2 linked regions of the Drosophila melanogaster genome follow. The gene in region 1 interacts genetically with each later gene. Each region holds a gene or a part of one and is shown on either strand. Other genes may lie near its edges. The genes, in order: HGTX and mid.

What was found.
Region 2: of HGTX (region 1) and mid, changing one enhances a phenotype caused by changing the other (phenotypic enhancement), as found in Drosophila melanogaster (one study listed by BioGRID).

Annotation. Positions count from the first base shown.
Region 1 is NT_037436.4:14,596,437-14,601,711, reverse strand, and holds the start of HGTX (HGTX), read left to right. Parts: upstream 1-2,171; 5' UTR 2,172-2,776; coding exon of another isoform or gene 2,777-2,998; coding exon 2,999-3,926; intron 3,927-5,275.
Region 2 is NT_033779.5:5,459,791-5,467,809, forward strand, and holds mid (midline), read left to right. Parts: upstream 1-1,848; 5' UTR 1,849-2,127; coding exon 2,128-2,314; intron 2,315-4,028; coding exon 4,029-4,479; intron 4,480-5,429; coding exon 5,430-5,715; intron 5,716-6,103; coding exon 6,104-6,922; 3' UTR 6,923-7,820; downstream 7,821-8,019.

The sequences.
Region 1 (5,275 bases):
CAGATTTTAGGGCCAACATGTGAAAGAAAATAAAAATCTCACAAATTATTTATTAATTACCCAGCGCAGCCTTGCTCAAAAGATGTGAACCGAGTTTGAGACCAACTGTAGGCATTTAATAGTGTTTTCAATTCTCTGCTTATCGGTATTGTAAATTTTAAATTTGCTCCTCAGCTTCCATCTCAGTTCTTTCATTTTCTCTTTTTTAGCACAATAAAACAATAAATCAATCACAGTTAGGGCTTGTGTAGTTTTGTTATCTTTAACCAAGTTTTTAGTGTCTTGTTAGATTTTTTGTGGGGCCGAAATTTATGAACACTGTAAATATACTGTAAAAAAGACTTGATGGATTTAGTTATGAATTTATAAAATATTATTTTTTTTCTTAAGGGTATGTATTATTATGTTTTTCTTGTATTTAAAGTTGTCTTAAAAAAAATGTAGTGACAAACGACTTATATTGATAATATAAATCTTACAATTAACTTTTTCGTTTTTAAACAAATTCAATAGTTTTTATATTAAAGCTGAATGCTTACAGGCAACCTTAAAATTTAAAGTGTAAATTTTTCAATATTTTTCGTTAAAGATCTGTTAACTACGATGAAAGAAAATTCTATGACATGTTTTCTGCCACGCATAAATTTATGGGGAATTGTTTCAGATCAAAGCAAAAGATGAGGGCTGCTTAGACGAACTACGAAAGGAGAGACGAATGGATGGGTAAGGCTTCCAGGAGTATTTAAGGTCTTCATTTTTATGGGTCGGCAAAGTCAATTAAATAAAGAACACAGTCGAAAATCAACAAGCTGTGGTGGAAATGACCAGCAAAAGATAGAGATACTCACTCAACGGTTGAGTGAATTCGCTCCTTCATACTTTCACTCACATTCATTCACAATGGCGGTCCAAGTTCTCTCTCCCTTTCTCATTTTAGTGGGCGTGGCCTTGCCCTCTATTCCACATCCCATTTCATTCCTATGAGATCTCACCGTTTTGTCTGAGTAAATTAAAATTGTGTGTAGTTTATTATTAAATGAAGCGCATTTTTGTATTTGTATGTGGACCACCCGTCTGCCTGTCAGAGTATGTGTGTGTGTGTGTAACACCAGCAACAGCGGTATTTTTATATAGATAAACATAAATATAATTCGTTGGCCGTCGGTGGGTTAACAATCCTCCGGCCCACCGACGGGCACATAATAATATTAAAATGTTAATTAGCGTATTAATTCAGTTCGGTGATGAAAGTGTGAGCGGTACAAAACGTGATACATACATATATATGTTGGTATGCTGTGCTGGGACTCACATTTCTGAAAATAATTTATAAGATAATCTAGAAAAAGGTGTCTTTGGTATATGGTTAAAAAAAATCCTTAAAATATAGAGTAATTAAAAAATAAAACTATATAGGCATATTCTTTACAGTTCGCGAATTAATAACATTTCACATATTTATGTTATATTACTTAAGTACAGAATTTTGTATTAAATTAATTACAAACAAACATTTAAAAAAAGTGTTGAAATACTTCTACTTTAACCTATAGTTTCTCGTTTACATTTATAGCTCTCATTTATCGCCAGCGCAATTTTTAATTATTTAAATGAATAAGTCCAACGAAAAAAGCTGCCAGCTTCGTCTCAATATTTATAGCTTTTTAAACAAATAAACGGAATTCGCAGTCGACAAAAAGGCCACCCACAATCCAGCGACCCAGGGAAAAAGCCATGAAAATGCACTCAGCCTCAAGGAAACAGTTGGCCAGAAAAGGACAGATGGTGGTGCAAGCGAGACAAAGCACACCAAGAGTGCCAGGATAAGTTCCCGTTTCAGTCCCAGGCTCCAATCCGAATCCGAAATAGTTGATTTTAATGATGTACATAATAAAATTCCCATTCGTTTTGTGCCAATGCCACTGCGTTCCAGTCTGCATTTCATGTTTACACTGATTGTGGAACACTCTTGTGGGCGAGAAAGAGACACATCGATATGGGGGAGCAAGACAACCATATACGACTCTCTCCCTCGCGCGCTCTAGAGATGATGCTGCGAGTGGAAGTGGAATCGGAATGCGGAGGGTTGAAAGCCGTACCCCCAACCAAAAACCGAAACTGAAATTGAAACTGAGATTGTGCGACTGAGGGCCAGTCGAGTCAATTTCGAAATCATTCGTTAGTCGTAGGCCTAAACAAGCGGACACGCGCGGGTCTTCATTCACTACGATATTTTCCGGCCACGGAGTTACCCATATAGCCTGATCTCGTTCAAATCGATTATGCCAAGTGTAGTTTCTTAAAATCTAAGAACGATTTGAACAATAAACGTTTTCGTGCTCAACCGTTTGACAAAATCGGTTTCGTGCTTGTGCTAAAAAGGATTCAAGATCATTTGATCATTTGATCTTGAATATATAGATTTACGTGTTTTAATCGTATCGTGATCGGAAAATATTAAAAACCCTATATAAATATAAATACTGCGTACATCGGAAACTGAAGTGCTGACATTATAATTGAAAACAATTCAAGCAAAATACGTAGTTAAACAAAATTTCCAAAAAATTATTAAGGAACTCAATAAGTTTTATAAGCATAAAGCAGGATATCCCCTTAAATAATTTTTTTGGTCTTAATTACATAGAAGTAATTAATCAAAAATATTTGAACAAAAAGCTGCTATTGCTTAAATACTATTTATAACCAAACTGAAAAGCCTAAATCGTTAAGATTCGATCTTCTCCGCGTGAATACCTATCCGTAGACCGATCCCAAGCTGGGTAGTCCATTCCTGAGCATTACGCCGGCGGGTGGCAGCAGCAATCCCTCGCCCACGCCTCCACCGCCAGACGCCAAGGTGGCGGCCAAGCAGCTGGCCCAGAGCTTCCAGCTGTCCGCCAATTCCGCCTTTAACTTGGCCCTTCCGCCGGCATTTTACCGAGCACCACCGCAGCAGCACCCGGAGTGCCTGGACTACGGCCACGAAGCGCCCGAGATGGATCTGATAAATCCGTATATGCGCCATCATAGTTTTGCGGCCGCCGCCCAGGGAAGTCCCCCGTCGGCGGCTCAACGTCATCATTTGGCGGCGGCCATGAGCAATGGCTTCGCGGATGTCCATGCCCATGCGATGGCGGCGGCGGACTATCAACAACAGTTGGCCGATTACCACAGTGCAGCGGCGGCAGCGGCCGTTTATGCCAACAACAATAATAATAATAACAATAATAGCAGTAACAACAACAACAGCAGTCCGCTAATGTTGCTAAAGGCGGCACATGGCGGAGGTCTCAAGGATTCGGACTCGCCATCGACGACACCGCCACCCGCCTCTTCTAGACTCCATTCTGACTCCTCGCCATCTCCGCGATACGAACACAATTCCAGTCCCGGTGTGGACAGTGCCAAGTCGTATGCCTTGAGCCAGAGGAGCAGCGGAGCGGAGGATCCATGCCAGACCAGCGAATCCGCCAGTCCACCGCCGCAGGGCCAGAACGACTACAGTCCCGAGAATCTCAGCAGCCAGAGGGCAAAGTTCCAGCACCATCATGGAGTGAACCCACTGGCTTTGCACAATGCCAACCATGCCGGAAACCCCGGATGTCACAACAACAATAACCACATGGACCACAAGCTCCCACTGAGTTTTCTCGGTCCCCCGCTGGCCGCTCTTCACTCGATGACCACGGAAATGAAGGGTCAAGGAGTCGGTGGATCGTCGGCGTCGGCAAATGGCTTGTCCTATAGCCACAGCCCGAATTCGCATTTGATCAGTGATCGCGGATCCGGTGGCAGCTCATCGTCGTCCTCCACCACGACTACGAACACCAACAGCCAGGGTGCACCCAATCCGCACGGCATCGATACCATCCTCTCCAAACCACCGCCGGTGACATCGGCGGGTCTAAGTGCTTTAACAGGAGGTGAGTAAAGGAATGGATTTAATATGGGTTGGGTTTATTATATATTATACCCTGTTATTTTATACCAATTATATTAAGGAAGAAAGTGTATAAGGCCATGATTTGGGGACTTTTAATAAATTTCGAACTTCTTAAAGATGTTTGTTAAAACACACATTTTAATAATGCATAAAATAAAATACATAAACAATGGTTCTTGTTTTTACAATTTTATTGACATAAATCTAAATTTGGAAAAATCAAAATATTCCATTTAAATTTAAGCGCTTTCCAAAAAGTTGCTATATGTGTTGCTTAATGCTGAAGAACTTTGCTCTAATTTGAACGCATAACTATTAAACTTAATTGCATAATAAAAATGAAATAATAATACGCTACCTGTTTATTTACAATTGTCTCTCCCAATTCAATGCACCTAGTCATTATGCAACACTGAAATATGTGTATATATGTACATATGTATCAGACACGAATCAATAGATATTTTGTATGCACCGAACTCAAAAAGCCAAAGAAAAAAAGAGATATATTTTAAATGCTTCAAAAACTCGTTTCGCAAACCAAACAGAAAAATAAAAAGGCAATCTCGTCGAACAAAAACGACCGAAAATTGTTGTTTTGTTTACGAATCCGGTTTGGCATGATTCCATATGATTCCATGATTCAATAAAAGCCATTCCCCAGCCCACAACCCCCCTGTCATTACGCCCCCTGGTCGCTTTACCTAATCAGGGCAATTTTGGATATTGAGCACACCGTTTTCTACGAAACCCAAAATGGTTATAATATCCAATTGCAAAATTACCACATAACGTAATGAGATACGCGTTTTAACGTTAAAATTTGCAGCAATTAGTTGTCAAATTGTTTGTAATTAAATCAAAATGACACACAAAAAACGTGGTCTATATGGAAAATAAATGGTGGAGGGGATCTGAATCTGTGACGCTGTCGTTTCACTAAAATGATTTGGTTTTTCAGCCACTCTGCGTCGCATTTTTTGTACTTTTTCACTCAAATGTAGACCAATTGTGTGACATGACAGTGGTTTGAAAGGAGGGGGCGCGGTTGACAGGGTGATGACAATTTGCCATAACATTTTTAATTATTTTTAACGAGGGCGTTTATGTGATTTGATTCGTTTATTTGGGTTTTTCTTTAAACGATTCGGTCACCAGAAACGTAACTCATTCTTTGACAAATTATTTAATGGTCTTTAATTAATTCGAACAAATTCCGTATTGTGTGTTTGAGTTCGCCATGAGTGGGCAGAAAAATTGGCTGGCTGAGAACAAATTGCGCGAAATTCTCATGAAAGGGAAATAAACTTTGGAGAGGATTAGTTAATG
Region 2 (8,019 bases), on another chromosome or scaffold:
ATTGTTTATTTTTACAAGTGCCAAGTGGCCACTTTTTTTTCAGATCGACCGCCCTTTGTTTTCACAACTTGTGTTTTCCTTGGCTTTTGACATTTTGGTGACATACGGGACTGCCACCTAAAAAGACACACATGTAGATGCACAGACAAGGCCAACATATTAGGAACATAGGCTCTTTTTATGAAAGGAAGTGTAAACCTTTTTCTAGAATCAAAGTATGCACTCTACTTTTTAGAACCAGCGTTCTTGTGTCATAAAATTGTATTTAAAGTTATCCCAATCTATAATGCTATCGTCCGTTTTGCTTTTGAATTTGTTAATGCTGATAAAACATTTTATAGCTATCAACTTAACTGCAATTGTAACCAGAACACACACGACGCATCCCTCCCCGTCCACTTTCACCATTTCTCCCAGGGCGAAAGTGTCAAAGTGACATGCCCACTTTGTCGCTACCCGACTTAAAAAATGTCTCAAATTACAAAAATCACACAACAAGACGGTTTGTTCCTCGCACAGGATAAGCGGGATTAGTCAGCTTGTTAGTTAGTTTGGATCTCCGCGTTCCGTTTTTCAGGATCGCAGGATTTCCGTCATGGCAATTGGCAATCCGAGCAATACGTAATGAATGTGACGAACTGTCAGTTGTTTCGAGTTTCCTTGTCGCAGCCGCATTTTCTTTGCATTTTTTAGCGGGTTAATTGGCACTGACAAAGGTCTTGACTTTTGCCTGGGAAACATAACAATTTGTTGACATCTGTAAATATTATGGGGGAATTTTCCAGAGGACTAGCTTCTATCATACAGCGTGTGGAATTGTATATAATTACTAACGGAAAAATATCCCTGTTAACTTTTTGAATCGCCATAATCTAAATTTCATGATCATATCCTCTTGAATATAAAAAAATATAGCTTTACAAATAAAAATGTCTTGACTAATGCTTATAGATATACTATGTTTTCAAATGGACTTCTATAATATGTACTAAGCGAATTGTTTAAAATATGTTCTTCCCTTTACCGAAATAAATTCAAATTGCATATACATTTTAAATAAACTTGTAGTTATTTTCGCACTCTTTATTCATGTTTTTAGAGCACAGAAAAATTTCTCGAGCTCAAACTAATAAATTCCCAACGTCCCATTGCAATAACCTTGACTCAAGGTCCATGTCCTTGCAGATAAATAAGAAAGGAAAAACAACGGGATGCAACTGCAGAAAAAAAACAGAGACATAAAACTCACTCAAAACAGAATTGAGTGAGACACGGAACGTGTTGGAAACGAAATGGAACAGACGGAAGATGGAAGAAAACGTCAGAAGAGGAGATAACAGGAAATGGAATGCGACGACAACGGCGAAAAGTTGTTTAAAAAAAAAGACCAAGAAAAACCGCAAGCAAAACGTTGGCACTTCATAAATGGGCGAGAAAGAGAGGCAAAAATAAAAAGAAAGAGACCTCGCTATGGAGAAATAGAGAGGTGCGAGGGAGAAGGCCAAAAGCGCCGACATTTTTAATTGTAAATGAGTTATGACGCGTTCGTCAGAGAGAGAGGTGAGGCGAAGAAAAGAGAGGGGCGCAAGTTGCTGACAGCGCCGCCTTTCTCTCTGTCGCACGTTCACTCCCCCGCCGATTTTCCAATTGGAAAACGAGAGAGCGAGTGGCGTTTTCACTCAGAGTGTGCGGCTATAGGGCTATCCCGCTTGCACTCGTACTGGCGCGGCTCGCTGTAGGGTGGTCTCGCTTGCACACATAGGGACCATAAGAGGAATAACTGGTTTCCCGAGTTTTGCGCCTGCCGTCGTTTTTGGCTTCTCAGCGGCAACATTTTCCTGACACAATTCAGTTCGTCGTCGCCTGCCTTCCGTTGCGCACACACTCAGTCCGCGAGATTCTCAGTTCGCGTGCGCCAAAGATAAGCAAAAGAAAGCAAGAGAGATATAAAGATACAAGATACTTACACCTTGAAACATACACATACCCCTCGAGTTACCAAAGCTAAAGATGCATCTAGCTTTATAAGTGCCAAGTGTTGAAAAGTGACCAGATACAATACCCCAATACCTTTCCAAGGTATTCCCTAGTTAAAGCCCCATTAAGAACAACATCATACCCTTCAAAATGCTGGTTGGATCTCATCCGTATTTGTGCAACGGGGTGCCCGCCGCCCCTGCAGCACCAAATGCCAGTGGACAGACAACAACAACGGCTAGCAAAAGTGCCGCCGGCTCAGCGACGGACTTTTCCATCGCCGCCATCATGGCTCGCGAAGATGCCTCCAGTCGGGAGTCCTCCATTCGCAGTGCAAGTAAGTTCAGATACATATTGAAAATATCCTTAATAAGAAAGGAATTCTGTGGGAAGCGGCAGAATCATTAATCGGTTGATAGGAACAATTTGTTCTTAAAAATATATTTTTATGCATTAGAAATTTAATGCCTTGAATATTAAGCATTTCGATTATATAGTGATTTTTAAACAAGATTTTTTTAGGCTTAACAGACTTACAGCAAGATTCATTGATGAGATGTAGAATATCTTTAAGATACTTTCATTTCTGTAGTCTCAAATACCATAGGGTACTTTTGTTTAGAACTTCATTTGACAAGCTATAAGTTCCCTAATTCAACAATCTTTAATCATAGTAGGTAGTTGTAACTTTAGATATTCACTTATCTCCTAGCAGTGCTTTCTGTACAAAAACTTACTTAACATACCAGCACACAATAACTAGAAATTGCTAAAACAAAAATGGAATTTTTATACGATTAATTCAAATTAAACGTGATTAACAACTCAACGCCCAAGAAGAGAACCGCAAACTTGACCAGCGAATGCAAACATTATTAGCCACAAGACAATCGCTAATTGATTGCACAACAAATCTATTAAATTACTGTTGTCGCTTTGGGTGCGCAGAGTTCCATTTAATTGCTAATGACAATTAGCAGGCGTTCCGGCCACGTTAAAAAAGAAAAAACTAGTTCTCTCTGGCCGACGGCATTCGCAATTAAGTCGAGCCAAAGATCGCGAATCCAGATATTTGTTAGCAAACACTTGCAGCGCTCTTTTGTGGCCGATATTATGATAATATGCAAATTGTGCACAGCATCTAATCGCGCGGAATTCATATTTAACAAAGGCTGCTAATTATGTTAATTAATTTTCAACAATGTGCTTCATTTTATTAATTTTACGAGGCGCAGAAAATTAGCGACGGCCGAAATCAAAACAAAAACGCTACGAGGTGTTCGTATTTTACGATCTCTTTATCAAATATGCAGCTTTTTTAATTTCATATTTTGTTTTGTTTTTTTTGTTTTCTGTGGTCGCTTTCCGTTTTCCGTTTGCTTACTTTGCATTTTAACACCTACCGTCTGGGCTCACCTGCAAAAAAACCGGGCTGCTTAGTTCTCCCCATCATTTTGTTACCATTTTCGGCTTATGGAAAATGGAAAGCGTATGTGAGAGTTCGCCCATGGATAAGCCCAAAAATATTATTCATCAACTTTTGCGCACACACCTTGAACGAAAGCCCTCCGCTTTTGTTTATGCAATGGAAAAGAGCAATCGCAGCTAGAGTTTCGGGCTGTTTAATTGCCGATTTGTGTTCAGTTTGACAATTAAGCCAGCGGTCGTCGTCGCACTGTCTCATTGCAATTGAAACGCGAAGCGAAGCGGAAACTCCAAGAATATGAGACGACTCCACGCTGTCTGCCGCGAAATCAGCTCCACCACTCAATGTTGTCAACGGAAGCACGGCCTCGGTTTTTGGCCAAATGCACAACGGAAAAATCGTTAATAAGACGCACAAGTTATGAAGGAAAAAGTGATGAAAAATTCAGGAAACATTGTGATCTTTAAAGTGTTTAGTGCCAAATATATTGAAGGCTTCAATTTAGAGATTTTACTTAACGCTTTTTCCCATGTGCATTGCATTTTAATTTGCATTACCTCCAAAACGAACGGTGTAATTCAGATTTAATTTTCAATTTTCGCTTTTTCCTCTCGTGTCATTTAAGGTCCCATTTCGGTGGAGGATGAGGTTGACGTTGATGTGGTCGACTGCAGCGATGCCGAGGAGCCACCGACTAAGGCGCGTCGTTTGAACCATCATCAGCACCACCAGCATCACCAGCACCACCACAATAACAACAATAACAACAACAACAACAATGTGGCACACAAGAGTCGCAACAGCGGTGGCGCCGTGGCACAAACAGCTTCCGCCGAATCCCAACTGAACACCAGCTCGACCAGCAGCCAAGGACGCTGCTCCACACCGCCCCAATCCCCGGGAACGGAGGACAGCGAGGAGCGTTTAACACCGGAACCGGTGCAGAAGGCACCCAAAATTGTCGGCTCCTGCAATTGCGACGATCTGAAGCCGGTGCAGTGCCATCTGGAGACCAAAGAGCTGTGGGATCGCTTTCACGATCTCGGCACCGAGATGATCATCACCAAAACGGGCAGGTAAGCATCCAAACCAGCAACAAGCCATCCATCCATCCAGCCATCCATCCAACCATCAGTCAGTCAGTCGAGTTTAGTGCAAACAGGCATTAGTTTTAAATGGTGGAGCAACGTGGGAGATTTTGGGAGGTAAAAGTTGCTGCCAAATGGCATTACCCAAACATATACTCTTTTCACAAAATATTTTGCATTCATCACTTTTCCGCAAAACTTCTTTATTGAACAATCAAGTGTCTGCGTGTTCAATCATCAAAGATGTTCACCCTAAGTCAGTTGCCCATAAATTGGCTCGCCAAATGGTTTTTGCAGTGTCAACAAAAATTTCATGCCATTTGAGTGAATGTGTGGGGTCTATTTCCTCCAAAAGGGAAACTGTGCAAAAAAAAAGGAAACATTTGTGTACCTGCGCAGGAAGAAAATGAGAAAATCAGAGCTATGGGCGTTGCTGTTGTCAGCGGGAGAATGGGAACAAGTTCAATCCAAATGACCACGGGTTGTCCACACCTTTGCTCCCACACACCTGACCACACGCACACAGGTCACACATATAGATAGATATATATACACCTTAATGATATTGTAAAAATCACACCTCGGAGTCGCAGACATCAGGGCGGTCCCCGATGCCCGCCTTTGGCCTTTTTGGCCGGAGGTTATGTCACCGGGTTTTGGAGGGACATTAAACCACAGGATGTAGACAAGAGGGATACACAGGTTTGTGACTCAAAAAATGAAGGAAGAGTTTCGCTTTTGTCTTCATTGTCTGCACTTGTCAAAGCAGGGAGAATCGAAAAGGAAAATATGGGAAAAAATCAGCTTGAAGCCCCAGTGTCTGGGCCATAAATAGTCGACTTAACTAGCTGTGTGGCAATAGCAATCCCCAAAAAAAGGGAGCATTCAATGAAAGCAAAAATCTAATCGAATTAATTTAACTTTGTTACCTCTTCCAGACGCATGTTCCCCACTGTGCGCGTCAGTTTCTCGGGTCCGCTGAGGCAAATCCAGCCCGCCGATCGCTACGCCGTCCTCATGGACATCATCCCCATGGACTCGAAGCGGTATCGGTACGCCTACCATCGCTCCGCATGGCTGGTGGCCGGCAAGGCCGACCCCGCCCCCCCAGCACGCCTCTACGCCCATCCTGACAGTCCCTTCAGCTGCGAGGCGCTCCGCAAACAAGTTATCTCCTTCGAGAAGGTGAAGCTGACTAATAACGAAATGGATAAGAACGGACAGGTGAGTTGACTTGAGATACCGAGACGCTGTGGTACTGAGATACTCAGATGCGCAGATACTCGGCTGCTGAGACATTCAGATGCTGAGGTAGCGATTAGCCGCGAGTGCTAAATAATTGATAATTTTGCAACACGAAGAAATATTCGCCAAGTTGCGAGTCTAGAGACCATCGTTGATTAATGTTGCTTTGCTGTGAAAATGGAAAATGTTCGTGTTCAATTCAAGAAGTGAATTTTAGGACAATATACTTCTATCTAATTTATGAAAAGTTTTAAAGAATATTAAAGATAACTTTCAATCATTTAAGCACTTTCCTAATTCCCAGCTATGTAAATTTCAATCGACTTACTACAATGAAACCTTTTCCCTCTTTTCTATTCCCTTCCAGATCGTTTTGAACTCGATGCATCGCTACCAGCCCAGAATTCATTTGGTGCGTTTGAGCCATGGACAGAGCATTCCGTCGAATCCCAAGGAATTGCAGGACTTGGATCACAAGACCTACGTATTCCCGGAAACCGTATTCACCGCGGTGACGGCCTATCAGAATCAGCTGATCACCAAGCTGAAGATCGATTCGAATCCGTTCGCCAAGGGCTTCCGCGACTCCTCCCGCCTCACCGACTTCGATCGCGATCCGATGGAGGCGCTGCTCCTGGAGCAGCAGCTCCGCTCGCCACTGCGCCTCTTTCCCGATCCGCTGATGCAACAGTTTGCCGCTCAGGGTGATCCCTCCTCGATGGCGCTGTTCGAGAAGGCACGCCAGCATCTGCAAATGTTTGGCGGCAACTCCCCCTATGCCCAGCTGATGATGCCGCAAATGTACCAAGCGGCAGCAGCGGCAGCCGGACCACCTCCGCCACCCCCCGGCCTGGGCGCCTTCCACATGTTCCAGCAGCAGTGGCCCCAACTTACCGCCGGCTTTTTGGCCAGCGCCAATCAGCAAGCTGCCGCCGCTCAAGCCGCCGCTCAGGCCCAAGCGCAGGCGCAGGCGGCAGCCGCAGCGATGGCCGCCAACCGGACGCCCCCACCCCCGCCCACTGCATCCACGCCCTCGTCGACGTCGTCGGGATCGCCGTCGCCCGATATGCGACCGCGCCAGTATCAGCGGTTCAGTCCGTACCAACTGCCAGGCGGTCAGGGGCCACCCTCCTCTGCCGCCGGTTCGCCACCCGCGGTAAACGCCTCACGCAGCCCCGCCCACTAAGTTAACAGCCCACGCCACCAAGTTCTTGCCACGAGCAGTATTAAAAAGTGAAAGCACTGGGGTTAAAGGTCGTCTCTTAAATGCAAAAAAGTTCCTGGAATACTAAGAAAATACTTTAAAAAAAAACGTAAAAAAAAAATCGTCAAAAAGTTTTTAATACAATATTTTGCTTTCCGATATGATTTCTTATAAAAAAGATCGTTTCTGGCAAATATTACTGCTGAGTTTCTTTTCAGTCAATGAAATTGCTTAAACTTTAGCTTTATTTTTCAATTTAGACGACCTTTAAGCCCAGTGAAAACTACACAAAAAAGGTTAGCCATCTTTTTGAATGTTGTAAATTATTTGTTGTTTATATGAAGGCAAAGAAAAACTTTTCTCTATTTGTTGTAAAAATCTTAAATTATGTATAAGCTGTACAGTTCTTCTCACTTTCCCCTAGACAATTTTTGTAATCTAGTTTAACTTATTGTACAAATGTTTAAATGTTGTTCGAAAACTCATCTCAGTGTAAAGTTAGAACGAAATTCACTCAAAAACTAAGCAAAACAAAAAAATATACATATACATAAATAAAACGCTGCACGATTGTAAACTATATATAGCTATGTAGTGTAAGCATAAATCGTTAGTAATGCTATTATATATAATGATATATTCATAGTATTAACAGTAAATTCATAGACGCTTCAGTTAGTTATATTTATCCGGCGAAAACGTAAAGATTTATTTAGCATAAATTAAAGGAGAGTAAAACCATAATATGTATTCAATGTGAACGCTAAAAAAAGTGAAAACACGAAAAATATTTAAACAAAAATTATTAAACGAAAAATATGAAGAAAAAAAAACACAAACATACAAAAACCAATCAAAAATAAATAAAAATATGTGAACCAAAACTAGCAACGTTTTTTTAATTGGAATTTTTATTCGATATTTGAACAGATAGATCTGAAACGTTTCAGTTTTCGTTTTAAAAAGCATTATAAGCTTTTGGTAAATAATTATAATAATTTTTCAACAATTTTCCCCACGTCTCGAGTATCTTCGAGACTCAAATTACTTTCCCTCTATAAGAAATACTCCACATAAAT